Linked DNA regions of Notamacropus eugenii. The protein of the gene in region 4 interacts with the protein of the main gene of each other region in a biochemical or structural test. Links are inferred from orthologs where the notes say so. Each region holds a gene or a part of one and is shown on either strand. Other genes may lie near its edges.

Evidence for each region.
Region 1: the proteins of PTPN11 (region 4) and FRS2 interact in a test that uses a peptide from one of them, tested with the Homo sapiens proteins (2 studies listed by BioGRID, with this or other methods). The link is inferred for Notamacropus eugenii from reciprocal best matches to the Homo sapiens genes PTPN11 and FRS2.
Region 2: the proteins of PTPN11 (region 4) and PECAM1 form a complex in vitro, tested with the Homo sapiens proteins (4 studies listed by BioGRID, with this or other methods). The link is inferred for Notamacropus eugenii from reciprocal best matches to the Homo sapiens genes PTPN11 and PECAM1.
Region 3: the proteins of PTPN11 (region 4) and INSR form a complex in vitro, tested with the Homo sapiens proteins (2 studies listed by BioGRID). The link is inferred for Notamacropus eugenii from reciprocal best matches to the Homo sapiens genes PTPN11 and INSR.

Annotation. Positions count from the first base shown.
Region 1 is NC_092874.1:246,983,745-246,991,608, reverse strand, and holds the start of FRS2 (fibroblast growth factor receptor substrate 2), read right to left. Parts: upstream 3,008-7,864; 5' UTR 2,872-3,007; intron 1-2,871. UniProt on the Homo sapiens protein: Adapter protein that links activated FGR and NGF receptors to downstream signaling pathways.
Region 2 is NC_092873.1:327,459,821-327,466,764, reverse strand, and holds the start of PECAM1 (platelet endothelial cell adhesion molecule), read left to right. Parts: upstream 1-3,937; 5' UTR 3,938-4,182; coding exon 4,183-4,216; intron 4,217-4,304; coding exon 4,305-4,331; intron 4,332-5,203; exon of another isoform or gene 5,204-5,293; intron 5,294-6,944. UniProt on the Homo sapiens protein: Cell adhesion molecule which is required for leukocyte transendothelial migration (TEM) under most inflammatory conditions.
Region 3 is NC_092875.1:51,121,487-51,128,892, forward strand, and holds the start of INSR (insulin receptor), read right to left. Parts: upstream 3,015-7,406; 5' UTR 2,722-3,014; coding exon 2,631-2,721; intron 1-2,630. UniProt on the Homo sapiens protein: Receptor tyrosine kinase which mediates the pleiotropic actions of insulin.
Region 4 is NC_092875.1:33,754,225-33,761,385, forward strand, and holds the start of PTPN11 (tyrosine-protein phosphatase non-receptor type 11), read right to left. Parts: upstream 3,011-7,161; 5' UTR 2,738-3,010; coding exon 2,724-2,737; intron 1-2,723. UniProt on the Homo sapiens protein: Acts downstream of various receptor and cytoplasmic protein tyrosine kinases to participate in the signal transduction from the cell surface to the nucleus. Positively regulates MAPK signal transduction pathway. Dephosphorylates GAB1, ARHGAP35 and EGFR.

The DNA.
Region 1 (7,864 bases), on a different chromosome or scaffold from region 4:
GCAAACATTATAGCACTGTACAAATGAGCTCCTTTTACATAATAACAACAATAATAAAAATTTCTACTACTTCCAAAAATGAGTTCTGTAGTCTGGAGAACTTTGATGATTTGTGGTTCCCATTCACTCATGCCATTCCCTCTTTCTATAATGATCTTTCATCAACTGTTTTTATTTGTCAAATCTTTCACAGCCTTCAATGGACAATTAGCATGTCTCTATAAAGCCTTCCCTGGTCATCTTGGGTAGAAATCACAGATTAGAACCAAAAGAGGGCTCGTGTATTGAATTATTTACTCCCCCCTTCATTTTACAAAGAGAACAAGGCCCAGAATTGAAGTCAGTCTAAAGTGGCACCTAATCAATAGCAGAAACGGGTCTTGAATTTTATATAAGGTTTTCTGACTCCAAGTGCACTATATCATACTGATTCCCCTTCTCTTCCGTACTCCCATAGTAAGTATTTAAGTCTGTACCACTCCTATAAAATATCACATAGTCTTACAGAATATATATTTGTCTTATCTCCCTTAATGGATGGTGAGCTTCTGTCTCATCTACAACCATGCAGTCTACCATACTCTCTGTTCAATAAATATTTGTTTAATGAAAAAGAATGACAGCTACCTACCACGTTAAATACAATAAATACAATGCTTTTAAAACATGTTCCAAGACACACATACCTTATTTGATTTCCTCTATACTTTCTTCTTCCATAACACTCCCTGGGATATTCCTTTGAAAGCAAGTTAGCAATCATATATTGATCACTATATCCAAATCTAACCTGCCTTCTAACCTTATCCTCTATCCTCTTGTATAGCTCAGAAACTTCAGTCTTCACACACACACACACACACACAAAAAGCCCACAAAAAACCTCCCCAAAAACTACATACAACTTATGTTCCTTCCTTAAAGACATCAACAGTAATCTTCTGTTCCAGATTCATAACAGAAATAAATTTAGTTTCTTTCTCCACTTCATAAACAAGAACTCAATGCTGTTGTGACTTCCATCTTTTTATATAACTTGTGATTTTTTAACTTTTCTTCCATTAACTCAACTGGGCTTTGCATTTTCCTTCTTTAACACTATATACACATTTACTGCAAATGGTTGGTTTTTTAAAATGTCATCTGTCTTTAAGCTGTTGACTTTTCACAGTATTCTTTGAAATATATTGAAATTAGTGAGAAAATAGACTATAATGTATTTGCTAAGCTTTAAAGATTAAATGCAAACATGATATTTAAGATCTGCAGTGCAATACGATCTCCAAGGCACTGAAAACTAGTGTCTTGCTTCCAAAATGAAAAAAAAAATCAATACAAAACTTACTGGCTCTCTAAAATTATACCAAAAGCAGTTTCCACCTATAATCTGCCTGTCAGAGAAGTTTCTAGTAAATGCACTTATATAAAGTTTCAAAAGCAGAGCATCACCTCAAAATGAAATTTACCATGAAAAATATGATCACATCTATTCAATTCGTGTTAACCTCTGTTTTTGCACACCTTATAACAGTTTTATGAAAAGTCACACAAGTCCATATATAACAGGCCCAAATAGAAAGCATACAAAGATAAAGGCGAACACATAACTTCTAAGTTCTCTATAATGTTGACCTAAATTTCAGTAAGTGTATCAACCACAGATTAAGCTCAACACTTTTTTGTTTCTCTTTTTTCCACCTCAGATGATTCTTCTTAATGCTTCATTATTTTTTTAAAACATCACTTTCACTTTCCAGGAACACCTCACCCCATGGGCTCCCTCCCTCCCCACTTCAAACAAAGCAGTGCGGTTAAGGAATACACACCAACCCACTATACTGACAAAAATCTGACAATGCAGTTAGACCTCATTCCACATAGGCGAGAGGAATGTTTTTGCATTGATCAGTGTTCTGCTGATCACTGAATATTCTTGGGCAGCCACAGGAATTCAGAGATTAGAGGAGAAACTCGACAACAAAGTGCAGGCGCCTACCTAAACTACTCATTTTCGCAAGAAAAAGAAATCTGTTTTTTAAGTGTAGTGAGTAAAACTCCTGAAAGGAGCTGTTTAAATTTAACGCAACCCGAACCAAACTCTGAAGACAGTCCAGGACAGCTGGAAGCGCAACATCTCCTTTAAGGCCTTCGAGGGATCCGAACCCCAAAACACAAAACTTCTTGATTTGCAGAAGTTTCCCGGTCCCCTCGGGCTACACATCGCCTCAAAGATGGGGGATCAGGGAAGCAGCCACATCCACCTTCCATTCGGGGATTACGAATGGGAAAGGAGACTGAGCAAGGTGGCGGTGATCAAGGAGAAAAAGGGGGTTCTGCTTGTCCCCCGAAACTACTCCGACTCTACACTGCCCGTATCTCGTTTGTACACAGTTGTTTGCAGGTTGTCTGCCCAATTAGACGGGGAGATCCCCGGGGGCGGGGCCTGTTTTTTGCCTTTCTTTGTATCCCCCAAGTTTAGCACCGTCCCCAGCGGGCCACCGGCATTTATTAAGCGCCTACTAAGTACGAGGCACGGGGCTAAGAGCTAAGGATACAACGAAGAGGAAAAAACAAACAAAGCCTGGTGCCTGCTTGGAATAACTGCTGATTTGCCTAGGGGGAAGCCAAACTCCCACGAGACGTAGCCCCGGGATCCCCGCTTCAGCCCAGGCGCCCCGCCCCCCCGGGCCCAGGTCGGAGCTCCCCCGGTGGGAGCTCTCTGCCCCGAGCTTTCCTGCGGGGTCCAGCCTGGGGGAGACCCCAAGACGAGGCCGCCGCCGCCGGAGAGCTGGGGAGGCAGGGCCCCTGCATCCCCCAACCTGGGCACGGCGTCGCTTCCCCCCAACCCCCCGCCCTGGCCCTGCCACTTACTTTGCTCCATGAGCGCCGGGACAGCGGGGCGCGGCTCAGGGGACGCCGAGCCCTCGGGCTCCTTCCCCGGCTAGAGGAGGCGGCTGTACCCCCCGCGATGGAGCCGCAGCGGCGGCGGCGGCTACAAGGCCTCACTCTGGCCCAAAGCTCAGCTGAAGTGCTTCCGGTTGAGGGGGTGGGGAGTAGGGAAGGAGTCTGGCACCGGAACTTCTTGGGGAAGAGTGGGCGGGGATTTGGAAAAATGGGCGGGACCCCATGGGGGCGGGACCTCGGTTGGGAAGGACCGGCACCTGACGTCAGGGAAGGGGCGGGGCCAGAGCCGAGCCCGCGGGGGTTAGGTGGGGGCACCCTGGAGCGGCCTGTTGGGCGTCTCTCGGGATCCCCGGCCCAGGCCCTGGGGAGGCGTGCGTGGAGTGTCCCGGCTTCGCTGCGGCCTGGACCTCGAGACTGCTGTACCAGCGGGGACCTGCCCGCACCTGGGGCTTCGCATCCGCAGTTAGAGCTGGAAGGAGCCTTGCAGGGAGATCACAGAGTCCAGGGGTCCTTAACCGGCAGACCGGGACTTGGAAAAATTTTTGATACAATTTAATAATACCCCTAAATCAAGTTCCATTGATTATCCATACTTATTTGTATTGACAGTTGTTACTGATTTACAATGAGTCATCAAGTTTGGCTTATTAAATCCACTGATAATAAATCGATATTTTTCAGATGAACAATTATTGGTATTAAAGTACCCGGATGACCATTAGTTGTGACTTATATTGTTTACTTTGATCCATATTAATAATTATTAATGTTTATTTGTGTATCAGTTTACACCAGTGGTCATTAATAGGCATTTTTGTTAATTATTTACATTGATTTCTATTAATAATCATTAATGGTGATTTATATAATAAACATAATAAATTTATATAATACACAATGGTGATTTATGTATATTAATTAATGTATGTTGGTCATTATTAATCGCAGTTATATCAATTTGCATAGGTGGTCATTAATGTTAATTTCTACCAACCCTTATTAATATTAATATATGCATATTTATTAGTATGAGCAGTTGTTTATATTAATACACATTGATGGCCATTAGTAAATAATTTATGCTATAAATTGCTTACATTGATTTATATTCATCAGTAATGTTGATTTATATAATCATTTTAAATATTACTTTATATTGATCATCCTTAAAGTTAGCAATTCTTGATATTAATTTACATTGGTAGTCATTAATAGTAATTTATATTAATAATTATTTACATTGATTGTTGATCATTGTTGATTAATGTAATCAATATTAATCTATATGGATCATTATTAACATTATCATTAATTTACAGTGACTGTCATTAATGCTAGTTTATATGAAATTGTTAATATTAATCTACACTGATAAGCATTTTATTGTTTATTATTTTTATTTTATTAAATCTTATTATTTATTAAATAATAATATATCATTATGGTATTGATTTTATTGTTTAATACAATGTGATTTATTCTGTGATCCTATTTTTTTTATATAGCTTTAAAAATATTCTGAGAAGGGCCCCATAGGTTTCACCAGACTGCAAAAGGGATCCATGACACACAAAAAAGGGTTAAGAACCCCTCATCTAGTCCAACCCTTTCATTTTACAAATGAGGATACTGAGGCCCAGAGAAGTCAAAGGATTTTACCAAGACTACACAGATAGTGCCAGAAAACTTGGATTCTGTCAACAATATTAACCCCCTCATCCTGGCCAGCCTTATAGTTTCAGGGAGACCTTTATCTCCTCCACATCCTTCAGCCTATATATCCAAGGTCTTAAGTCCTGGCACTGAGCCTTGCTCACTATAGGCACTTGAGAAATTTTAAAATTAAATCATTAATGCGTATTTGTTACAAGGGCTTTGTTTTCCTGTTTGGGGGAAGGGAGAGAAGGGATTATATAGTCAAAAGGATAATATAGTCAAAAAATAAAAAAGGAAAAAAAATAGAAAGAAAAGAGGGTCATTGAAGTATCTTTTTTTTTAAATGCATAGAAGAAAAAATCTGAATCACAAATAGAACATCTTTGAAAGTTATATATTAATTTTATTATACTTATATTTTATATATAATATGCGTATAGATTTAAAAGAAAAGTAAGCTGTACATAACAGGTCTACAGTTTCATGTACAATCCTCTTTTATACATGTATTTATATACACACACATATATATACACATATGTATGTGTATGTACATACACACATATACACAGATGCCCATTTTACCTGGTGTTTAAATTCAGAATAAATAAATCAGCGACCAAGTGCTATTAAGCCTTCATAATGTCTCTTGAATCCCCTTTTCACTTCAGGGGTGGGGGAATTGTGGCCACAGGTCCCCCATTCCTGCTTTAGTTCAAGCCCTTATCATCTCACACCTAGACTGTTGCTACTTTAGAATCAGAAGGGACTTTAGAAATCACTTAATTCAACCCCCATGCCACATGCACATGCTTTCTGTCTCCCTTCCTCCCTCTCTTCCTTTCTCCTTCCCTTCTCCCCCCCCCCCCTCACTCTCTCCCTTCCTCTTTCTCTGTCTCCCTTTCTTCTCTTGCCTTGTCTCCCCCCCTCCATTTGTAGTATGAAAGGAAGGGTCTTGATCCTGGAACATTTTATAGGAGGGTGTGGTGGCCAGGGAAGAAGGTATGGTTATAAGATAAAAACGTAGATAAGAACCACACAGGGATGAAAAGACTTGGAAAGGGAGATCCTTCCAGTGGGAACCATGAAAACTCCCCTGAGCTTAAAGTATACTTAAGGCTAAGCAATCCTACTGATGTATATCTTCAAAGCAAAAGACAATTCAATAGCATAGCAAAGTAAGTGACAAGAAAAAAAATCTTTCCTACCATAGATATGCAAACACAGTCTCTCACAAGTTTTCACACCAGTGGTGGGAAAGAAGAACATTCATTGTTAAAAATTGTTTTAATTAGGGGAAAAGAAAATACTCAATAAATAATTTTTAAAATACTCAATTTTTTAAAAAGACTCCCCCCCAAAAGAATATTCATACCTGGGCAACATGTATGACAGCACATGTATGGAGCCTCCTCAGTCATCCATGGGAACTCATGGGGCTAGGGAGCATTATAGTGAGAGGTACTCATGCTGTTTGGGCAGAGACCCTATTAATGCCATTTTCTGCCTCCAATGTTGCTTCTTGTTTCCTTAGGTGATGTCACACTATGAGCAAGCACTGTCTCTACTGAGCTAGGGTCCTCTCTGTTGCTATCTCTCCATGATGCTATTGGACTCTGCTGCTGCTCACTGGGCTTCAGTTGCTGTAAAGCCTCCTCCCTAGTAGGGAGGTCTTAGGGAGGGGGGATATTGTCTACCAGTTCTTAGGGCTCAGAACCTCAGGGGGTTCCTTGGTGATTTTAGTCCCCACCCAGCTAAATAGAGAAGTCCTCAGGAATTTGAGTCTGCCCTTTGAATTGAATTCCTCTGCTGCCACTGGGATTTATGATCATAACCCACAAAAGAAAGAATCCTTTCTACAACATGTGTCTGTCAAGTGGTCTGTCTTCCAGCTTTTGCTAGAAGACCTCCAATGATGGGGAACCCACTACCTCCCAAGGCAGACTGTTCCTCTTTAGGATAGCTGGGAATTGTTGGCAGCTTTTTCCAGTCTAAATTGGCTGCTCTGTGACACACTGCTTCTAATTTGGCACCTTGAGTGAAACAGAATAAGTCTCAACTCTCTTTCACATCAGCTCTTACGTAGTTGAAAACAGTTGCTATACTAGGTATATGACTCTGGGTAAGTCACTCAACCCTGTTTGCCTCAGTTTCCTCATCTGTAAAATGAGCTGGAGAAGGAAATGGTAAATCACTTCAGTATCTTTGCCAAGAAAACTCCAAATGGGGTCATGAAGGGTCAGACATGACTGAAATGACTGAATTCCCCCTCGCTCTTTTATAGGTTAAACTTACAAATTCCTTTTCCCAGTCCTCATTTAACATGGTTTTGAGGTCCTTTGTCATTCAGGTTGTCCTCTTCTGAATGTCCTACAACTTATCAATGTCCTTCCTAAAATGTGATACTCATAACTGATCACAATACTGCAGATATCATCTGACCAGGGCAGAGTGGTGTGACTTACTACTTTATTTCTATTAAACCTCCCTTAATCTGTTGTTCTTCAGTCATTTCAGTCATGTCTGACTCTCCATGACCCCATTTGGGGTTTTCTGGGCAAAGATACGGAGTGGTTCGCCATTTGCTTCTCCAATTCCTTTTACAGATGAAGATGAGGAAAATAGGGTGAAGTGACTTGCCCAGGGTCACACACCTAGTAAGTGTCCGAGTCCCTTGCTGAGCTCAAGGCTTCTTGACTTCAGACCCAGTGCTCTATCCAGTATACCACCTAGCTGCCCCAAGTCTCTCTTAATGCAAGTCACCAAAACCACCAGCTCTTTTCAGACAAACTGCTTCCTAACCATGCCTCCCCCATCTTGTACTTAGAATATCACCTTGGGAGCATGAGCAGAAAGGGGTTAGATGGAACTTGTAATTATGGCTCTATTTGCCTTCACTGTGGCTTTCATGGGTGACTTTTGTCCTACTTCTCCTTCCCACTCACCCCCACCCCAGCAACCAAACCATTACTCCCTATTATTCTCCCTTTTGGTTGCACTCTGTGTCAGGGCTTACAGTTCCCATACCAAATGGTTTTCTAGAAAGATCCCAGGATTTAGAGGTAAAAGACCCTGTGTGAATCCTGACTTTGCTACTTGCTGATTTTGTGCAAATCATAGGCCCTAACGTTGGCAGGAACCTCAAACACCATCTACTTCACACACACCACACAGATACCCCTTAATTTTACAGATGAGGAAAATATGGCCCAAGGGAGTTTAGGTGACCTGCCTGGGATTATACAGTTAATTAATAGCAAAGACAGGATATGAACACAAATCCTCTGATTCAAGAGTCAATTTT
Region 2 (6,944 bases), on a different chromosome or scaffold from region 4:
CTACTCATCCCCACGGACTTGACTTTCTTACCTACTCTCTTGGGCCCATCTGTCTGGGAGGGAGTTTCCTATCAAAACAAGTCCTGGGGCAAAAATAAACAAATAAAAAAGAATTTGAAAGAAAGGAAGTGAGAAAGAAAGAAAGAGAAAGGAAGGAACAAATTAATGAATGAATGCCCATGACTTCTATATCAGTCAGGCTAGATACAGAACCAGTATCCTGTCTTCACCCTGCCCCCAAGACTGCTAATACTACAAAGAGACAGAGAAAGAGACAGAGAGATAGAAGGAAAGAGACAGAGAGACAGACACACATGCACACACACACACACACACACACACACACACACACACACACACAGAGCACCCATAAAAGAATTTCCTCTACCTTGAAAAGTTATAAACAATTAATCTTCAGCTCTGAGTCTCCAGTCAGGGAAATGCTCTGGCAGTACACCACAGCTGTAAATTGCCATCCCAAGTGCTCCCTTACGGCCCCTTTCCAATATGTTTGTGCATAGCCACACATGTTTTATCTATACAAACGATTACTTCTGTGTTGCTCTATCTCTATCTCTGTCTCTCTTTCTCTGATTTTCAACTTTTTCTTTTCATCTTCTTCATTGATGTCTGCATGTATGTCATCACACCTTCCCCTATCCTTAACATGCATATTAGGGCTGGTCCTAGGAATCCCACCCTCTTTGTATTTATGATCTTTATATTATTATATTGAAAAGACAACACAAACAGAAATGCAACCTGCGCTTCGATGGACATGCCTAGTTCTAACACGGAGACACCCGTCTTGAACATGCTTTTTTGAGCATGCCAGATTTACCTAATATGGAGTCAGCTATGACCCCTACCACATGGATGGGGAGAGTCTACTTTGATTGGCTGCCTACGTCTTTAAAACTGGCAAGATTAAAACTTGTTCTTTTTGACTACTCTCTTCTCCACCAAGTTTTCTGACGTGCCCAGCTTGGATGCCATGAAGTGAACCAGTGAAAGGGGAAGAAATGTACTTCCCTTCCTCCCTCGCTTTTACTCTCACTTCTGAGAAATAGGTCTAGGGGGTGTTTGTTACTGTCCTGTGCTGTTTGCCATCTTCAGTTACAGGTGCTAGAAGTGATGTCAATGGGTCTGGGAGTTTGAGCCATGGTTCAGCCTGGGAGCTAGGATTGCAGGTGGGGTGGTGCAACCAGTCAGAATGGCATGAAAGTCCTGAGAAATCAGGATGCCTTCAACTAGAGCCCATGAGGGGGTTTTGAACTTGGAACCGGAACTGTGTACTATGGGAACCAGGCTAAACTATGAACCTAATCCTCTTTCCCTCTCCAGAGACAGAGAGGGCGTCCTGTCTCCACTTATTGGGAGTGTGCTTGTGCTTACATTTTTTGAAGTAAATATTTCTAATTTCCAGTCTGACTGTTTGTGACTGATAGAAATGGGGTACAGGAGCATAGTCCTCTATACTTGGGGGAGGAAGACAATTACTGGGGGCTGGAGCCAATGGCAGAGAACTGTAAAGTTAAGGGAATTTGAAGATCTTCCCTGCCCGTTAGTAGGCTCATGTGACCTGCTTTGAGCTTTGGCCCAGCCCACAGCTTGAGTCACATAGAGTCAATTGTGGGAGGAGCTTGCCAAATGAGTGGAGCTGAGAGAGAGTGAGGCAGAGCTGAAGCAGAGCAGCTAGCATGAGTGAGAAAGAGTGGAATTTTGCCTAGGGGAACTTGTTTGTGGGGTGGCCTAAGAGAGGGAAGGCTTGGGGATACCTGTATTCCCTTCATTGGTAATGTGTACAAACTTTGTTGTTACCATGGTGGAATTGGCTTTCTGGTGTTGGAATAAATATTTTTTCATCTTTGAGGAAGAGAGTTTATATTTTGAGAATTTACCCTGGAAATACACATACATACCCATAGCAGCTGCTGTGGGTATCGCATTGATGCTACAAGAACCTAGACCCCCCAAATCACTTTAATGATACTGGAGAACCCAAAGGGCAGAGTGAAATGTAACATACCTGACTTTCAGGCAGTGAGGACCAACATAGTCTGTGTTACAGAAAGGTAAACAAACTCTTAAGAACCGAAGGTAAGTTTCAGAAAATAAGGCTCTGAAGAGAGACAGAGGGGAAGAGAAGAAAGGAGAAAAATAGAAAAATCACTTTCCTATGGGTCTATAGTCTGGGGAGTGGGTTTTGGTGGCATCTTTCCCAGTATGCCTGGTGCCCAGCTCTGATTCTAGAGTCTGGCACCAAATCTTACAGTTAAACATCTTCCTCTTTCCCAGGACACAATCTTCAGCTCAGTTACTGAACCCCCCCCCCTCAATATCCCAACACACACACACGCACATGCACACGCACATACACACGCACATGCACATGCACACACCCACTTCTGTGTTAATGCATTCTCCAGTGGCCCACCATCCTGTTGTCTGGGAGAATAAATCTATGAGTCACATCAGACTCCTTCGGTTAGTCCCTAAGTTAGGGCAAATCCCTGGGTGATTGAGGAAGGAAACACTAGTGTGATTTCTGCCAGAATCAACAGGCAGCCAATCTCCACTGTCCTGATCTCCTTGACACAACACCAAGATGGTACTATGTATATATTACATTTGTACACCCCACCTCCCACAAAAAAAAAGCTCAAACAAACCACTATGTAGCACAAAAACATATCCCACCCTTTCTGTACATATTCTGCACTTCAATCAAATTGCAGGGAGAGTGACAAGCAGACAGACACAGAAACACAGTAAAAAACTAACAAAAAGACACCATGCATGCATACATGGACAAACTGAGATAATAAGATATACACAAAAACCAATGGATGTAGGAACATCAAGCTGAATAAGCTGAGAAAGGCAAACACAGAAAGCTGTAGAAAAAGGGAAATGGACCGGGAGACTTAGATTTTGCAGTGTTTATGTTCCCTTGACTGTGGACATCAGAATAAGTTACCCTTACTGTGTGCTGATAAGTTCCGTAACACTTTAAAACAGTCCTCACTGTACCAGGAAGCATCTTTTCTGTTTTTATTTTCAAACTTCAAAGTTTACTTTTGAAATAAGAGATTATATTCCAATAGAATTCTAAAGGTTTTTTTTTTCTCTTTGAGAATGTAAAGGAATGACATATGTTTTAGAAATTTACTTTGGTTCCACAGCATGTCTGTTTACTACCAAATGCCTTGGTCCTGAAAATTACCTCGTAAAACCAGCATTTCTTGAATTCTTCTGGGACTTTAATCTTTAGAAAATTGAAGACAAATCCTTTTTTGTTTCTTTTGGTTGAATGGGGAGCTGGAATATAGAATGGGAGGGAAAACCAATTTGTCTATAACACCATTCGGAAACAAATGAGTTAAAGTCATAAGGCTTTGAATTTGAGTTCTATCCCTGGCACTCCTGGGCACCTTCCTTAGCCTCAGTCGCATCCTCTGTAAAATGGTGATAACAGTGAATCTTTCAGGATTGTAAAGTACTTTTTAACCACGTGGAGCTACACAAATATGATATTATGATTAATTAGCAAACTCTCATGATTCTGGCAAAGCAAAGCTTTTTTTTTTCCCCCTACCATGGGCTTAGCAGTAAAATCTAGATTCACGACTATTTTAAAATGAGAATAGTTAAAGGGAAGAAATATCTTTCGTCTTGAATATCTTTCTTGAGTCAAGGGAGAAGTCTCCCTAGGTGGAAGGTAGAAATTGGAGGGTCCCTTCATTAAAAGATGAGGGAGTTCCCACTCTTCCCCATTCTGGGGGAGCCAGAAGGAAGATTGACAGGTGTGCCAAGACAAATGTCATTTCTGCTGCTTGTTTTCAAATATACTTTAAGAAACTAAACAAAGAAAATTAGTTCAGCAGCCTCTCAGGAAAAGGCCAGTCATTTCCTGAGTAGCTATCAAACCCGGCCAGAAGCTCATTGTTTTCAGTTTCCAGTAATGGCAGCTATTACCTGACCAGTGAGTGCCACTGGCCATTCGCTATTCACAAAGAGGAAAATCCTTCCAAGAGTGAATCTTAACTTTTCACACTAAGGCTTGCTTATCTATTACCCCTTTTGAAGACAACCTTTCCTACCAGCCCCTTGGTCGGACTTAACCTTCAGCGAATGAGCATTCCTGGGTTCTAGACTGAGCAACTATTACTCCAAGACAAGATGTATCTGGTTCTTCTGGGGATGCTTTGGTTCTGTAAGTTTTTATTTTCATTTTATACCTTAAATTTTATAGGACTTGAAGCTTCTGAGATAATGACACTTGATCTTTTTTTATTTTTTAGGTCCAAGACTGAAAGGTCAAGAGAACTGTAAGTTGTAGATTTTTCTACCTCTTTCCCCCCTTTCTGTCTTGCCTAGGATCTTGTCTAGGATTACAGATTTAGAACCAAAGAGAGTTTGGAGATCTAACCCTCTCATCTTACAGATGAGGGAAGGAGGTCAGACAACTTTCTTTCTTCTACATTATGTTGTCTACTTTGGGACTTTATAAATTACAATTAAACTGGTTTGATTACATTTTTAATGAAAAGATAAAAGACTAGAAGCTCCTCTTTTGGAAGATAATAAAGACATATAAAAATATGATCCTATTAGCACATATGTAAAAAAAGTTTTTGCTTAGTCCAAAACACTTGCATTTAACAATAATGTTTGAAATGTCATGAAAGTTCCAAGTGGGCAGCTGTTTGATTTTTGGAAAAAGTGAGCCACTTCATAATCTTTTTTTCTCTTTCTATGGCCAATCTCATTCCCATTCAGCACACAAAGGGTTGTTTTATTTTTTTAGACCCCAGCAGAGTTTAAGTGATTAGTCTTGGCTGTGATTTTTCCTTCTTCACAGAATATTGATTTGGGTTTATGTTTGATCCCAACACCAAACAATTCAGAATCTTGTGATAAGAGAGAATAAATATGTGTGTGTGTGTGTGTGTGTATCTTTGAAGATTTATTGACAAAGTGAAAATTATATATTTGGAAATTTGGTTTGGGATATAAAATATATGTGGAATAAGGGATTTGTTTTTAACCTTTTGAAAGAGTTTGGCATATTTAAGTAGGTCTGGGAACAAGGAAGAACTTTATATAGGGTAGAGTTCAGTTGCTGAACGGGGAGGAAGTAAAACTGAAACTCTGGAAAAATGGGTAGAAATGTGTGGCTGTTAAATTGGCCTTTAAGTTCAGATTATTTGAGAGTCTTCCGAGGAGGCAGTGTGGAATAGTAGAGATAGCAGTGGAGTTAGAGTTGGGAAGAACTGGTGAGTTCAAATTGGTGAGTTCAAATCCTATCTTAGACAATTATCAGTTATGTGACTGTAGGCGAATCAGTTCATTTCTCTGTGCCTCAGTTTCCTCATCTGTAAAATGAAGGGATTGAGTTTCATGACCTTTTACATCTTTTCTAGTTCTAGTTCTGTCTTTCTCTCTCTGTATGTATATATAAAACAACAAAGGGTTGTTTTTTCTAGATACCAGCAGAATTTAAGTGAGTAGTCATTGCTGCGATTTTTTCTTCCTCACAGATAATTGATTGGATTTATGTTTGATCCTAACACCAAACAATTCAGAATCTTGTGATTAGAGAGAATAAGGTGTGTGTGTGTGTGTGTGCGCATGTATATATAATATATTTTATATATATTATATGTGTATATGTATACATATACGTATATATACATATATACATATATATGTTTCTTCAGGGTGAGCATTTAGTACTTTCCAAAGTACTTTCACCAAAATTTGATTTTTATGATAACGTTGCAAAGCAAGTCAAGTAAGCATTATTATCTCTATTTGCCAGATGAGGATACTAAGCCCCAGAGAACAGAAGTGTGTTTTTCAAGGTTATGTAGTGAATTAGTGGTGGCATGGGGATTACAACACAGATCTTCTGTTTTACAATCCACTTTCTTTATCCATGAAATGGGAACTAACCTAATGGGAGCTAACCTAATCACTTCTCAGGGACCTGTCCCCCAGGTCTAGAAGCTCTCTTTCTTCATCTTAGAATCTCTGGTTTCCTTCAAGTCTGGTCTGCACAAGGCCTTTCCTTGTCCTCCCAGCTGCTTTTCCCACCAAGGTTACCTTGAATCTGTGTTTTATATATGTTTATACACACCCATCTCTCTCCTCTTTCCTTCAAAATAGAAGCTCCTCAGAGGCAGGGATTGTTTCAATCTTATCCTTGCTTCCTCAGTCCTTAGCACAATATCTGACACACAGCAGATGCTCAATAAATGCTTGTTAATCGATGAGGGCAGAAAGTCTTTTGGAAAATTGAAATTCTTTCATTTTGCATGATCTTGGTAAGTTTGGCAAAAATTCCCAGGCTCTTGGTTCTGTGTCTGTTTTTCATTGAAGTAGCAATGTACATTTAGAGCAACTAGGTGGTGCAGTGGATAGAGAGCCAGGCCTGGAGACAGGAAGACCTGAGTTCAAATCTGGCCCCAGACACTTGCTGTATGACCCTGGGCAAGTCATTTAACCCTCTTTGCCCTCAATTTCCTTATCTGTAAAATGACTTGGAAAAGAAACTGGCAAACTACTCCAGTCTCTCTGCCAGGAACCCTCCCTCCCCCCAAAAAAGAGTTACAAAGTCAGACATGACTGAAGTGAGTAAGTGATAACTATAGTAATGTACATTTAGGCTAACTACTTTTCTCTAGACCTCAGTTTCCTCCTTGGTAAAATGAGGTGACTGGGTGATCTCTAAAGCTTCTTCCAGAGTTGATATTCTATAATGATTGCAGTCCACAATCAGCAAGACATTTGTTCTTAGTTGGAAATGGGAGAGAATTCCTCTTTCCCCCGGTAATGAGGAGAGGAAGAGAGCCACTTGACTGGACCCCACTCATTTCATCTCAGTGACTTATATGAGTCAGTGAGATGACTGATAAAGTAGGGGCCACACACGATCTGTG
Region 3 (7,406 bases), about 17 Mb from region 4:
TCTTTAAGGCCCAGCTCCAAGCTCTTCTCTTCTCCAAAGCTCTCTCAGATTGCCATAGCTCGATCTTGAGCTCTCTGTCTCTGTCTGTCTGTCTCTGTCTTTCTCCCTCTCTCTCTGTGTCTCTCTGTCTCTATCTCTCTGTCTCTATCTCTCTCTGTCTCTGTCTCTCTCTCTCTCTCTCTCTCTCTCTCTCTCTCTCTCTGTTTCTCTGTCTCTGTCTGTCCCTCTGTCTCTCTCTTCCTCTCTCCCTCTTCCTGTCCCTCCCTCACTTGAGCTCCTAGGACACTTGCGGCCTATGCCTCTCATTTAGGAAATAGCATTTCCACCCAGATCTAGTTGGAGTCAATTCAATAAGCAATGAATGAATGCTAAAGAAATGCCACATAGTGAGCTAGACGCTGGGGATAACAAAGGCAGAAACCGGTCATGCTCATCTCAAGGAACTCATGTTCTCCTGGAAGGAGACAACATGTGCACAGATAAATAAATACAAAGTATAAACAAACAACACAGAAGTCATTTTAAGAGACAGTGAGCACTAACAATGGAGAGGGGGAGGAACACAATGCAGAATTAGGAAAGGTCATATGTAGAAGGTGTCATCTGAGCTGTACTTTGAAAACAATAAGCTAAGGATTCTATGAGGCAGAGGTGAGGAGGGAACAAATTCCAGACACTGCAGGGTCAGTCCATGGAAAGACCCAAAGATAGAGATAATTACCTTCTCCCATGTTTGGGGCTTCTCTTTGATTTATCAACGCACTAAATTTCTCTTAGCTCTAGAGCTGAAAGAGATCCCAGAGGCCATTTAATCCAACCCCTTCATTTTACAGATGGGGAAAATGAGGCCCATGGAGGTTGAGACTTGCAAGTAGTAAGCATCAGAGATGAAATCTGAACCTAAGGCTTCTGACTCGAAGCTCTGTGAAACAAAGGATGGTGTCTTGATCCTTGACAATTTCCAAGCCCCAGAACATGTGCAAGGTGGAATGGTGAAGAAAAATGACATCCCTCATTGTTCTGAAACCCAGAAGGTCCTCTTCCCCCTTACATTATTTCTGCCAGATTTAAGGATAAGAATGTGCTATCAATGGTGCCTGAAAAAGAGACAACAGATCTCTCCCCGTCCACATTCAGATAATCTGAGCTCTGATGATTCTCAATAATAATAAAAATAATGAAAGGGTAATAAATCCCAGCTCAGTCAGGAGGGCCTTAGAAATTCCTCAGAGGGCCCCTGTGAATCTTGGGGAGCAGTTGCTCCTCATTCACTGTCTTTCTTGCTGCTTGCTGCTCCCCTGGGTTAACAACTTCATTGAGAAGCCCCAAACTCTCCAAGCCAGGAACTAAGGATGTGAAAGCACCTGTAAAGGCCCTGAGAGTCAGATGCCCCACCGCCCACCCCAAGATAGAGCAAACAGGCCCAAGAGCCAAAGTACTGTCCTAACCAAGCCTTTCCATCTCTCCTGAGTTCCTGCCCAGACATCTGCTGGAAGCCCTTTCCTGAGGCACTGTTCTACATCTATCAGAAAACCAGGGGATGGAATGTTACAAGGGAAGACCCTGATCATCAGCCAGGGCAAGAAACTTTAAACAAGAGAAGGAACAAAGCTAAAGTTCCTTTGTTAGGGTTAAGAATTAGCAGGTCTCAGCAGACAGTGAAGGAAGGCTGGAGTGCAAGTCAGACAGCTACTCTCTGAAGGAGCTCTGTGTGTCACCCTTGGCAGGTCTCTGGCTCTCTGAGTCTCAGTTTCTCTTTCTGAACAATAAAAGGATCTCTAAAGTCCTTTGGTTCTGCAAGTCTGTGGTTCCATGTGGCTCCTACAATATCAGAGCCAGACTGGGACCTTAAGAGATCCTCCTGGCCAACCCCCTCACTTCATTCCAAACCATCTCCTCCCCTATAACTGACCCAGGCTGGGCCTCCGCCCCTCCCACAGCAGTTTGGAGTTGGGAACAACCACAGACAAAACCCTGAAAAGAACACACAGGGATGGGGCTGGGGGGTGGGGAGGTGGGAAGGGCTCATCAGGCTGCTTTTCTCAGGACCATTGGCTCAGAGATTCCCAGAGGAGAAAGGCAAAATCCTGGCTTTTAAATGTAATGCCAGACCTTCCTGAAGAGCCTCAGGACCTACTCCTGGGGCAGACATTCCTGAGATTGAGAAGGGGGGAAAGTATTCTTCAGCGATCACTGATTAGTACCCCACCATCTCTACCAGGTCAAAGCGGTGGTGATGTCGGAGGTGACGGTACCGAGATGTGGAAGGAGGCCATGATTAGATCTTGCTCCAGAACACCCAGGAAGGGTCGGGGATAGGGAGAATCAGGGGGTCAGAGTTGAGGGGACCCCCAGTGGGGGCTCACAGAGGACAGAAAGGAAGGAAGCCAAGGTGGCCCAAGCTGAGCTACAGAACCTGGGAGACGTTGGACCTGCCTGAATCCTAGGGCTGGGACAGATCCTCATACTGGGGCCCCCCGGAGAGACCTGTGACTGAACTCTGGGAGGTCAGGGGCCAAGGTCAGCTCCCTTCGACCGGGCCGTGGCAGCCCCAGCGTGTAGGGCTGCTCTGAGGGGCCCCTCGGACCCAGGGCTCAGGGATAGAGACCCTAGTAGTAGAAGATACTCACCTTCTCCGGAGATCAAGCCACACGAAGTGATCAGCAGCAGCTGCAGCAGCAGCGGGAGCAGCCCGACAGTCAGCGGCCGCACGGCCCCCATGGCCCTGGGGACACAGACCGACTGACAGTCGGGGGGCGGCGGCAGATCGGGGGGCGAGCGGTGGGTCAGAGAGCCCGGGGCAGGCGGGAGCAGGGGGCGGCGGGCTCCATCCCGGCCCGGGCGGGCAGGGCAGAGCGGGGCAGAGCACGGCAGGGAAGGGCAGCGCGGGCCCAGGCGGGCCGTACCCACGGTCCTTTAAACGCCCCGCGCAGGAAATGTGGGTGGGGGGCTGCCCGCCCGGGGGCACGAGAGGGGCCCGGGAGGGGCGTGGGCCGGGGCCACCTCACTCCTCCCCTCCGCCTCCTCCCCCTCCTCCGCGCTGGCTGGGCCGCGTCCAGCAGCAGCCCCGCGCCCCGCCCGCGTGCCCGCCCCCTCCCCGGAGATCGCGGCCCCGGCCCAGGCCCGTAACCCCCCCGCTGCCCGGGGCTGGACGGCGCGCCTGCGGATTGGGCACTGCCCCCTGGAGAGCGGGCCTCGGCCGCGTGCTGGGCCCCCCCAGGCCCCTGCTCTGGCCCTGTCCCCTCCTTCTCGTCGGCGGCCCCTTCCCCGCAGGCACCAGCGTTCCCCGCTCCTTGCTCCTCGCTCCCCGCTCGAGTCTGGCCAGTAAACACAGCGGCCCCGTCAGCTGGGCTGGGCTGGCCCTGGCCGGGACGCTGGAAAAGACGGCGCGGAACAGGAGAAGGCTGGAAGGGAGGGCGCTGGGGGCCCCAGAGGCGCGGGGGCGGGAGGGGAAGAGGGAGATGAAAGGGGCGGGGTGGGGCGGAGCCAAAGGCGGGGGTGGGGGAGAGGAGAAGAGAGAGGAGGAGAGGGGGGGAGCAGGAGAGGAGGGGGAGAGAAGGAAGCCCCCGGAGGTGGTGCGGAGAAGGTGGGGTGAAAGGAAAAAGGTTCATGACATCCGATAACCTAAGGGCCCCTCAAGATCTGTGTTCTAAGGACCCTGCCAGCTTTGATGTTCTGTGTTCTAGAGTTCCTTCCAGCTCGACATTCTATGTTCTAAGGTTCATTCCCTCTCGGACATTCTGGGTTTCCCAAGGACATTTCTTTAGTCTATGTTCTAAGTTTTCTTCTAGCTCAGCCGATATTTTAAGATCCTTTCCAGTTATGCGTTCCAACAATCCTCCCAGTTCTTGACATTCTATGTTCTAAGGTCCCTCCCAACTGTGACATTCTGTATTCCAACACACACACACATACACACTTCTTGACATTCTATGATCTAAGGTCCCTCACAGGTTTGACAATCTGTGTTCTCAGATCACATCCAATTCTCACATTCTATGTTCTGTGTTCTATGACTGAATCTCAGAACAAGACCTATAAGAGTTCAGAGGGAATGACCCCTTCGTCCTTCTTGCCCTTCTGCTGCTGAATTCCTACCTATCCTTCAAAGTCCAACTCATAAAGACATCTCCTCCAGGAAGTCTTCCTTCATTTCCCCATTACCTAGTTGGTAATATCTTCTCCTCACATAAATATTTGTCTCAAACCTTTGTAATCCATATGTAATATTTGTTATAGCTATCTAAACCATAAGCTTCATGAGGAAGCACATGGTATCTTACCCAGTTTGTATCTCCTTCAGTGCGTAACACCAGGCTCTGAAAACAAAGGTACTTAATACATGTGAGGCAAAATAACTCATTGATTCTGTCGCTTGTTTTAGCAGCTCTCCAGGAAGGGAGTTCTGTTAGGAAGGGAGAACATGAGTTCATTGTCCTCAGCTTAAGAAGTAATGTATACCAACAGCATTATCCAAGGACAGGAAAATATATTTGTCATATAATGGCTGTGAAAGTTTTAGAGCCATAAGGTGGGATCACAGAGTCATAGGTTCAGGTCACTTTGAAGGACATAAGTAGGGGCAGAGGGCAAAGTCTCAGTTCCCAAGGAATGAGCAGGAAGAAGAGATTGTTTGATTCAGCCAGAATCTACATGAATAGTCTTGGGCTCCCTAAGAACAGCAAGATTTTCCCGAACACCTTTCCTGTCAACTGAATCATCCCTGCTTGTCAGTCCTGAGCAAAGTAGTGCATCTCTGTCTAGAATCACAGTGCCAGGCATTCAGAAGAAGAAAGGCCCCCAAAGTCCGAGTAGTCTACCCTTCTTTGGACAGAGGAAAAAACTGAGCACGGAAGGGGAAGACCCTGGCCCAAGGTCTCATGGTATGTCAATAGCAGAGCCCAGAACACTGACAAAGAACTGCTGCTGGATTGTCTCCCTGAAAATAAATGCCTGTTTCCCATAGACTTCACTCTAGTCTCTTTAGAACCAGACGCTGGGGAAAGCTTTCATAAAGGGTAATGCAAAACCTCCTCAAGTCACTAAAAGGCTCTCTGGGATTTGGAACTATAGACTTGATCAAATATAGTCCAGCAGATTTGCTGATGATAGCAAATATTCAAAAGAGGAAGGTTATAAGTGTAGGAATCAACCTAGACAAGTACACGCCAAGTGGAGAGATGCTACACTCAGAAACCTTAACCAAGCGAGAACCATACTAAATATGAGCAAGTCCACCCAATCAATTAATCGCAGGCTTGGACTAAGTCCTAATTGATCAATTTAGATATCTTTGAAATAATAATAATGATAAAAGTAGCTAGCATTTATAAAATGCCTTAAGGTTTGTAAAACCTTTTTTAAAAAAGTATTTTCTGATTTTTATCCTCACAATAAACCTGTGATGGAGGTTATGACTATTACCAGTTTACACGTGAGGTAACTGAAGCAGACAAAGGTTAAATGACTTGCCCAGGATCACACAGCTAGTAAGTATCTGAAGTGAGATTTGAATTCAGGTGTTCCCTCCTGCTTATCCAACACTACCATTACCACATCCACCTGTCTCAACAGCCTTGAAAGCTACTGGATGAACCAAAGAAAAGTTGTACCTTAAGTCTGGTTTAGAGACTTGGTCTCATTCTGCACCCAGTAGGGCTTCTATAAAACCAGCAAGCACATTCAACTCCTGGATTCCGTTCTAATTGCCTTTCCACTCAAGCCCCTGAAAGAGAATTTCTAGGGGGAGGGGGAGGATTGGAACCAGCATCAGTCTCTTCCCCACTCCACCCTCTTTAACCAGAAGATTTCTGTGAACTTTGGAAGACCAGAGGATTTGAACTTTAGTGTCCCAGGGAACAACAGCTCAGAGAAGCAGTGTCTGCATCAGGAAACAAGGATATAGACTGGACTTGATGAGGAAAGGCAAAACTCAGTGTTTTTTCAAACAGGAAAGGGACACCATACCTATCTAAGGCAAGGTCCTAAGGACTCCTGCCAAAGGATTTCTGAGAGCTCCCCTTGGCCACCTGTGTTCTCTAAACTCAAACCCACTTTCTGGATTCTGTATATACTTATAAGAAAAGTGTAAGGATGACTTTTAAGAGATTACTTTGTTCCAGCTATACCACCATAATAAATACTCACTTGTAAAAGCTGATTACGTCTTGCTGATTAGTTAATAGCGACTGATAATCATGGGGGAAGCCCACCAGTTAAGGGCTCTTAAACTGTAGCTGTAGAAAGATAACTTCTCTTTCTACCTTACTCGATGCCCTGAGGGCTAAACCTAGAATCCTAAGGGAAAATAAAACAGCAGGGTTTTGAGGATGCCACTTGCCAGGGGCCAGTAGGAAAAGTACCTTTGGACCTGAACTATAACCCCAAAACCCAAGGAGGACAAGGAGAGAAAGATCCCACATACACCAAAACATTCATAGTCCCCCTTTCTTAGGCAGCAAAGAGCTGGTAACAAAGTAAATGCCCACTTATTGTGAATGACTACACAAATTGTGAGACAAATGGAATGAGAAGCACCACAAGTAACAACAAACATGAACAATTCCAAGAAGCATCACAAGACATAGCAATGGATTCAAAGTGAATTAAGCAGAACCAGAAATTAATATACACAATGACTACAACATAAATAGGAGAAAAAAAGAAATTGAATGATATGTAACTGTGACCAAACAACCCTAGAGAAGGATTGAGAAAATGTACCTCTCTCCCTTCACTGTCAAGGTTCAGAATATTGAATACACTCTTGATTAGTTTTACTGAACTGCTTTGTTTCTGGTTGGTTTCTTTTTAAGTTTTTCTTATCATAGAGAAGTATCAGCATCACTTGGTAGAGGAGGGGAGAGGGATACATCCAGACGTGAATTTGATATAAAAACAAACCCTAAAATTTTTAAATAAGATTTTAAAATTTAAAATAAAACAACACAGCATATATGGATTTATTTTATGTGACTGCTTACTTATTTTGATGATTTTATCTTTATTTGGGAAAAGAATTGGGGAGAAAGACCTGGAGATACCATTACAAAAAAAAATAATAAAAGAAACAAAAAAGATAATTGAAGTATTTTTAAATGTACAAAAGAGAACAGAAGGGAAGTTCAGAAGGAAACAGGCAAGCAGGATAGCTCTGAAAGTTATACATTGAATTTATTCAAATTAAAATCAAGGTGTGTGTAGAGATCCATAATGTCCCATAGAAAATCTTCTCTTTTTTATTTTAAATTGTATGTGGGAATGTTCTGTCTTTTTGGTGTTTGTTAAATTCAAAATTAAAAATGTTTCATTTAAAACAAAATAATATAAATGTCCACATAGCCCCCAAGAAGATGGAAGACAGAAAAGCACTATATCTAACAAAATATTCATAGCAGCAGTTTTGT
Region 4 (7,161 bases):
GCCCAGGGTCACACAGCTAGTGTGAGAGAATTTGAACTCGGGTCTTCCTGACTCCAAGTCCAGCATTCTAGGCTGTCTGACAGTGATTACTATCACAGTTACTATTCCTGTGCTGCTGTTAACTAGACAGTTTTCTTCTCAACAGCAGAAGCGAACTGGAGGAAAAGCAGGCTATCCGTCATTTAAAATTCAGTTAGACCATTTGGGCAGCTTCACCTGGCTAAGACTTTGCAGTTTCCAAAATCATCAGGCAACACAACTCTTACTAAGGAGACCCTTTCCTGTACATCCCCCTCCCCCCTTTCCCCCCATGCTTTTCATGTCCTAGAAAGGCAACTCCTTCCTAGTTCAGAATAGCAGACCTTGAACAAAGGCTCAATGGTTACTTTGATAGATGAAGTAACACACAGACAAAGGCTCCGAGAGAGGACACTTTAGGCCACAGCCACACAGCGTCTTGCTGAAATGCACCCAGATCTGACAGAGCTTGGCATCACACCTGCCCAGGTCATTCGCTTCCTAAAGTTTCCAGGTTTGGTTTTTCCCTACCCCAAACAATCACGGAAACAAATAGAAAGACAAAGATGCAGAATGAAAGACACAAAGACTGAGAGAAAGAGTATTAGGGAAATATTCCTAATTTCTTAAGAAGCTTCCCATTTGGATCATACCCTGTCCCAATGCTATTATTTAAACATCACAAAAGAGTGGTGATGTTTTGGGACTGAACAAAACTGAGCAGTCATCAACCAAAAAAAAAGATGGGTCTATAGCCAGTACAACCCATAAAGGATTAGTAACATCTGGTAGTAATGATAGGTCTGACTGAGGGCAACGAAGTGCCCTGTACAGACTGTACAAGCTTAATAATAGTTAGAAAGTAATAATTCATTCTTCAGCCTACATCTTTTCATCTAAGAAACCCAACGCACCTTGACACCAATTCTCACTAATGCTACTGATTCTGTCCAGAAGAGGAAAGAGCTTGACAGTTGCCAAGAATTGGACATGAATAACCTGAGGAAAGGACCTAAAACTACCTCGAGGCTTACTTCGGGTCTGCCTAACCAATGCCAGTCCAGAGAGGCACTGCCTCAGAGTGGCTAACTAGGAGCATTATTACATACACAAGCACCAAGAACCTCTCCCCCAAAGGAGGGTGGCTGTGATTTCTGAATAATTATTAGGCAATTTTCATGAAGCAATGAGTAAGGAATGTAGTGCACAACCATGACCTACTTCAGCTTTGTATCTTCTGCTTATAAACAATCCCTGCCTTCCAGCTTGGAGGCACTAAAAGAGTCATTACTTAGAGCAGAGTGGAATGAATGAAGAGATCACAAAAGAGAAGAGCAGCTGGGAGCAGAGTCTCTACCCTGGTCCCCCTTGGATGAAAACAAGAGGAAAAGAAGGTAGAGTGGAAAGGAGTACTGATCAGTGTTTCCACGAAGAGACCTGAGGAGAAGATCCAATTCTGACACTTAGTAGCAGTATTTCCATATTTCCATGAGCAAGTTCCTTCCTTTCTGGGAGCCTCAGTTTCTTCCTCCATTAAATGGTAATAATAAGGCTGGTATCTCACAAGGTTATTATGAGAAGTGCTTTAAACCTCATGAAAAGGTGTTTATTATTTTTCCAATACCAAAAACTAAATATATAGAGGAAAGTGAAAGACACACAGCTGGGAAGGGGAAACGAAAACGGGGACATTCCTGGGGAGACAGAAGGGAATCAGGAGATCCCCACACCTAGCAAGAGCAGCAGATTCCTGAAGGAGGGTAAGAGGGGGAAGGAAGGAAAATGAAAAAGGAAACAGAAGAGAGATAACAAACTGTGCTAAATGCTGGAGATGCAAAGAAAGACAAAAAGACAGTTTTTGCTCACCAGGAGAGAGGAAAAAGAGGGGAGAAAGGAGGGACAAATAAAGAGAGGAAGGAAAGAGAGAAGGGAAAGAAAGAGGGGAAAGAGAAGAGACGGAAGGAGAAAAAAGAGAGAAAAGGGAAAAGAAGAGGGGAAGGGAATAAGCATTTATTAAAAGTCTACTAGGTGAAAAGCTCTTTACAAATATTTTCTCATTTGACCCTCACAATAAAGCACAAGGGGGAGGGGGGAGAAGAAAGTGAAGACGAGAGGGAAGAATGAAGAGGAAAGAAAGAGTGGAGGGGAATAATAGAGAGGGAGGAGGGGGAAGGAACAGAAAAGAGAGAAAGAGGGAGAGGGAGAAAGGTGAAAAGAAAAGGGGAAGAAGAGTGAGAGCAAAAGGGGAGAAGAAAAAAGAATCGAAAGGGAAAGGGGAAGGGAAGAGGAGAGGAAGAGGGGATAAAGAAAGGGAGGAAAAGAGGAAGGGGAAAAAGAAAGGAAAAGGGGAGAAGAGGAGGTGGAGATGAAAAGATAAGGGAAAGGGGGAACAGAGGGAGGGGGAGGGGAGAAAGAGGAGAAGGAGAAAGATGAAAAGACAGGGGAAAGGGGTGTGGGAAAGAAAGGGGGGAAAGGGGAAAGGGAGAAGGGATAAAAAGGGAACGGGGAGGGTGGAGGGAGGGGGAGGGGCGGGGGAGGGGCAGAAGGGTAAGAGCCAGAAGAGGCGGCTGGGGGAGGGGAGAGAACAGACTCCACTGCCCCTCCCCCAGCCCGCCCGGTGGGGGAGGGGGTCTCGCGGCCGGGGAGGGGGAGGGGCGCGCGGTGCTTTGTGGGCGGGCGGGGGTCGCGGGGGTCGCGGCGCTCACCTCCGGGATGTCATGTTCCTCCCGCTCCCGGGCTCCTCCTCGGATCCGCTTCCTCAGGGGCCGGGCCGGGCCGGGCCGAGGGTTAGCGCGGAGCCCGCGGCGCTCCGGCCGCCATCCAGGCCTCGGGATCCCGGAGACTAGAGACGAGCCGCCCCCCCCGCCCCCCAAGCGCCTCCGCTCCGCTCCGCTCCCCCGCGCCTCCGCCCCCGCCCCTCGCCGCCCGGCACCGCGACAGTGACGCCATCGGCCTGCGACGCCAACCTCCCGCCAGGCCGCCGGTCGGCCCCAAAAGCCTCCCGCCGGCCGCGCGCGCCGCGCACTTCCGGCTTCCCCCTGCGCAGGCAACTGCGCCCCGCGCCGGGGGTTCCGCCCGCCAGCCTGGGCCGCCCCGAAGCAAACGGCCGCGAGGGGGCGCTCTGGTGTCAGGAGGATCCGCGAGCTCCGAGCCAGCGCCCTCCACGTGCCAGGCACTGGGCCCGCGGGAGGCTCCCAGGGTACACGCTGTGCCGGCCCAGCTTCCCGTCCACCCCCTTCTGTGCCTGGCACACGGCAGGTGGGCGCGAGAGTGGGTCTGGAAGCTCAGATCCAGCGTCAGACCCTGGGCGAGCCAGACATTTAACCTGTGCCTCAGTTTCCTCATCTGTAAAATGGGAGACAAAGCACAGGCGCCTACTCAGTCAATTCCCGCGGCTCCCTCTTACCTGCAGGAGCCCTCCAGCATGGGCCTTCCTAGCCCAGCCCAGCCTGTCTGTGCAGGCGTCGCCCCTCACTGCCCAACCTGGCCCCGGGGGCACCTCTCGGCTCGGGCTGCCCCCGTGCCTACCAGCCCCCTGCCTCCGGACTCTCCCAGCTCCTCCAGGAAGCCCCTCGTGAGCCTCCCCTCCGCCACGTGCTCCCCCTCCTGCCCTGCGGGGCCGGTGCTGTTCGGATCTGGGGGTTTCCTCCCCTAGACTGTAAGTCCTGGAGGCCAGGCGCTGCAGGTTGCTTCATTGTATCCCTGCTGCGCACCGCGTAGTAGGTGCTTAATGCGCGCTTACTGAACGGAATTGAACCTGCTTCCCAAACACGTTATGAGATAAAATGAAGTCATATTGGTAAAGTTATTGGCAAACCTTAAGGAGTTGTATATATCTAGCTGACACCCCCTGTTCTAAGAACCCCCCAGCCCTGACACCCCCTGTTCCGAGGCCCCTCCCAGCCCTGACACCCCTTGTTCCAAGGCCCCTCCCAGCCCTGACACCCCCTGTTCTAAGGCCCCTCCCAGCCCTGACACCCCTTGTTCCAAGGCCCCTCCCAGCCCTGACATCCCCTGTTCTCAGGCCCCTCCCAGCTCTGACACCCCTTGTTCCAAGGCCCCTCCCAGCCCTGACATCCCCTGTTCCAAGACCCCTCCCAGCCCTGACACCCCCTGTTCCAAGGCCCCTCCCAGCCCTGACATCCCCTGTTCCAAGGCCCCTCCCAGCTCTGACACCCCTTGTTCCGAGGCCCCTCCCAGCCCTGACATCCCCTGTTCTCAGGCCCCTCCCAGCTCTGGCACCCCTTGTTCTAAGTCCCCTCCCAGCCCTGACATTCTCTGTCCTTAAAGGCTCTCCCAGCTTTGACATTCTATTAAAGTGGAAATAACACCAGAACAAAGGATTTCTAAGATCAAAAAATAGCAATCGTGATGTTAGAACTCAAATGCCAAAAATGCCTGCTTGAAAAATGATCTTAATACTCCCACAAACACTTGCTAAGTACGTTTTTATGTGGGAGTTATAGAAATATTAGGTTAACCTGTTAGTTATGTTAAGACATGAGATTTCTTAAATTTTCTATTTCGTAAGCTCTTTGATGAAAAGGATAGAGCCCTGAGTCTGGAGTCAGGGAGATCTGAGTTCAGACATTTACTGTGTGATCCTAGGCAAGTCACCTAAACCTGAGCTTCTTCCTTTGTAAAGCAGAGGTGACCTCCTGGCCTCTATCTACCTTTATCTGCCTCAGTTTCCTCAACTGTAAAATGTAGATATTAACAGTACATACCTCCTAGGATTGTGATGAGATAATTATTTGTCATGGAATAATATTCGTTAAAATAAGTGCTTAGCGTGGCATCTGGCACATATTGTTGTCTGTTGGTCCTGTCCAACTCTCTGTGACCCCACTGAAGATTTTCTTGGCAAACATACTGGATTGGTTTGACATTTCCTTCTCCCACTGATTTTACAGATGAGGAAACTGTGGCAAACAGTATTAAGTGACTTGTCCAAGGCCACACAGTTTTTAAGTGTCTAGTGCTATATTTGAACTCAGGTCCTCCTGACTCCAAGCCTGGCACTCTATCCACTGTGCCACCTAGCTGCCCACCTGACATAGAGTAGGCACTATGGAAGTACTTATTTCCTTCCTTTCCTTTCAATACTCTTTGAACTTTGAATAATAGTGATAAGCTAATATGTACATAGGAATTTAAAGCTTGTGATACTGTTTGTGTATATTAGTATATGACCTTCAAGACAACTCTGTGAGGAAAGAGCTATTATACCTATTTTACAGCTGAGAATGGTTAAGTAACTTGACCTTTACTTGATAGCTCCTTAATCTAACTTGGGAATCAAACTCAGGTCTCTCTAACTCCAAGTTTGTCCCTCTTTGTACTTCAGCCAAGTCTACTGTCACATGAATTGGTAGATTATTAGTTTTATTTTTAATCTGATGCCACAGAACTTCTTTGGAGAATTAATAGTTACAAAGTATTTCATCCCCTAGTAATCACTGGAGCAAAATATTTCTAAGACCAAAAAATGGAGACTCTGTAGAACAGAGGAGAAAAGTAGCATCGGTTCTGGAGTCAGCAAGTCAAGCCATCACCCGTCACAGTTTGTGATGTCATTGGTCCAATGAAGGACCAACCACAAGATCTGCTCATGTATTCAAAGGTAACCTGGTGTAATGACGAAGAGTACTAGACCTGGACCTACCACCCAGGGTGACTGTGAGGATAAAATGAATATTGGTACAGGGCTTTGCAAACCACAAAGCAACATATAAATGAGAGCTATTTGGTTGTTTTTATATAAATGCTCAAGTCACCTACATAGCAGCTATATGATCATGTGTAAGTTACTCCCCTTCTCACAATTTCAATTTCTTCATCTGTAAATTGAGGCTAAAAATAATTGTCCTCTTTGTTATGAGATGATGCTACGCAAGTGCTATGTATGAGTATGAGGGTTCTTTTTTTCAATTTTTATTTTAGATAGAACCTGTGGTTTCATTGGTATAAGGAACTCCTAGGAAATTCTGTCTCCCAGTGCAGGTCTAGGTGAAGCAACTTGCCTAGAGTCTCCCAGTCAGTATGTGTCCAAAGCAGGACCAAAGCCAAGTCTTCCTGGGCTCTCTAGCCATCATGCCACACCCTCTTAATGTTTATATGTTTTATATTTAACTTAATATTTAAATATATGTTATACATTTATAGTCAAAATGAAGAAGTTTGACTGGATAATCCCTAAAGACCCTTCCTTCTAGTTAAAAACATTGTTTCTCATTTATTCTAAGGTTCCTTCCAGTTCTGATTGCAGATAACGACATTTTTCTTACATTATGTCCTACCCTTTGGTCATTCAAGAGTTAACAAAAGGAGATTTACTTAGCCATAGCAGAAGAATATTCAACAAGGATGTGGCTTGAGGAATCCCTGAGCTGACCTTGTATGAGCTGACCATCATGCTCTGCCAGCCAAGCAACAGGGAATCCTGGTCCTCTCGGCTGTTTTGGACTCTACTGACCAGGAAATGATGTTTAAAAGCCTAATAAGCCTTTAAGCTGTCTTAGCCAAACAAATCTCAAGGACAATTTCAGTATCTAAAACTATCCCAACTTGTATGAGAGCAGAATTTAGGATTTTCCCATGAGTTAATGCTCCCACCACAGGGAAACTGAGGACCAGAGAGGGGAAATTGCTTGCGCGTTGTCACAAAGAGTGAGTACTTGAATCCAAGCCCTCTGTCTTCTCTCCCAATGTTCTCTCTACTAAAAAGATGTAGTTGTTAAATATGAGAACTAGAAGGAACTATCATTGTACAGAAGAAGAAACTGAGACCTAAAGACTTTCCCAAGGTCACACAGGTGAACTCAACGAGCGCATTATTAGTATAATAGTATTATTTGTTTATATGTATATCATAAAAGTATTATTAGCTTATAAGGTAAAACTTAGATGTGAAACTTCACCTCTTCCAGGAATTACATCGGGATGACATGGACAGGAATATGTTATTTCCCATTAGTTGGACTCCTCTTAAATTAGATGAACTCCTCTTAAGAAACCTAACAACTCCATTATATTAAAAAATGAAAGGTTCCTCTTCTTTTGCTTGAACTGTATCTTCAGAGTGTTACAAAGTACTCTGTAAACCTTAAGGTGCTGTATAAATGCATGTTCATACTACGATTT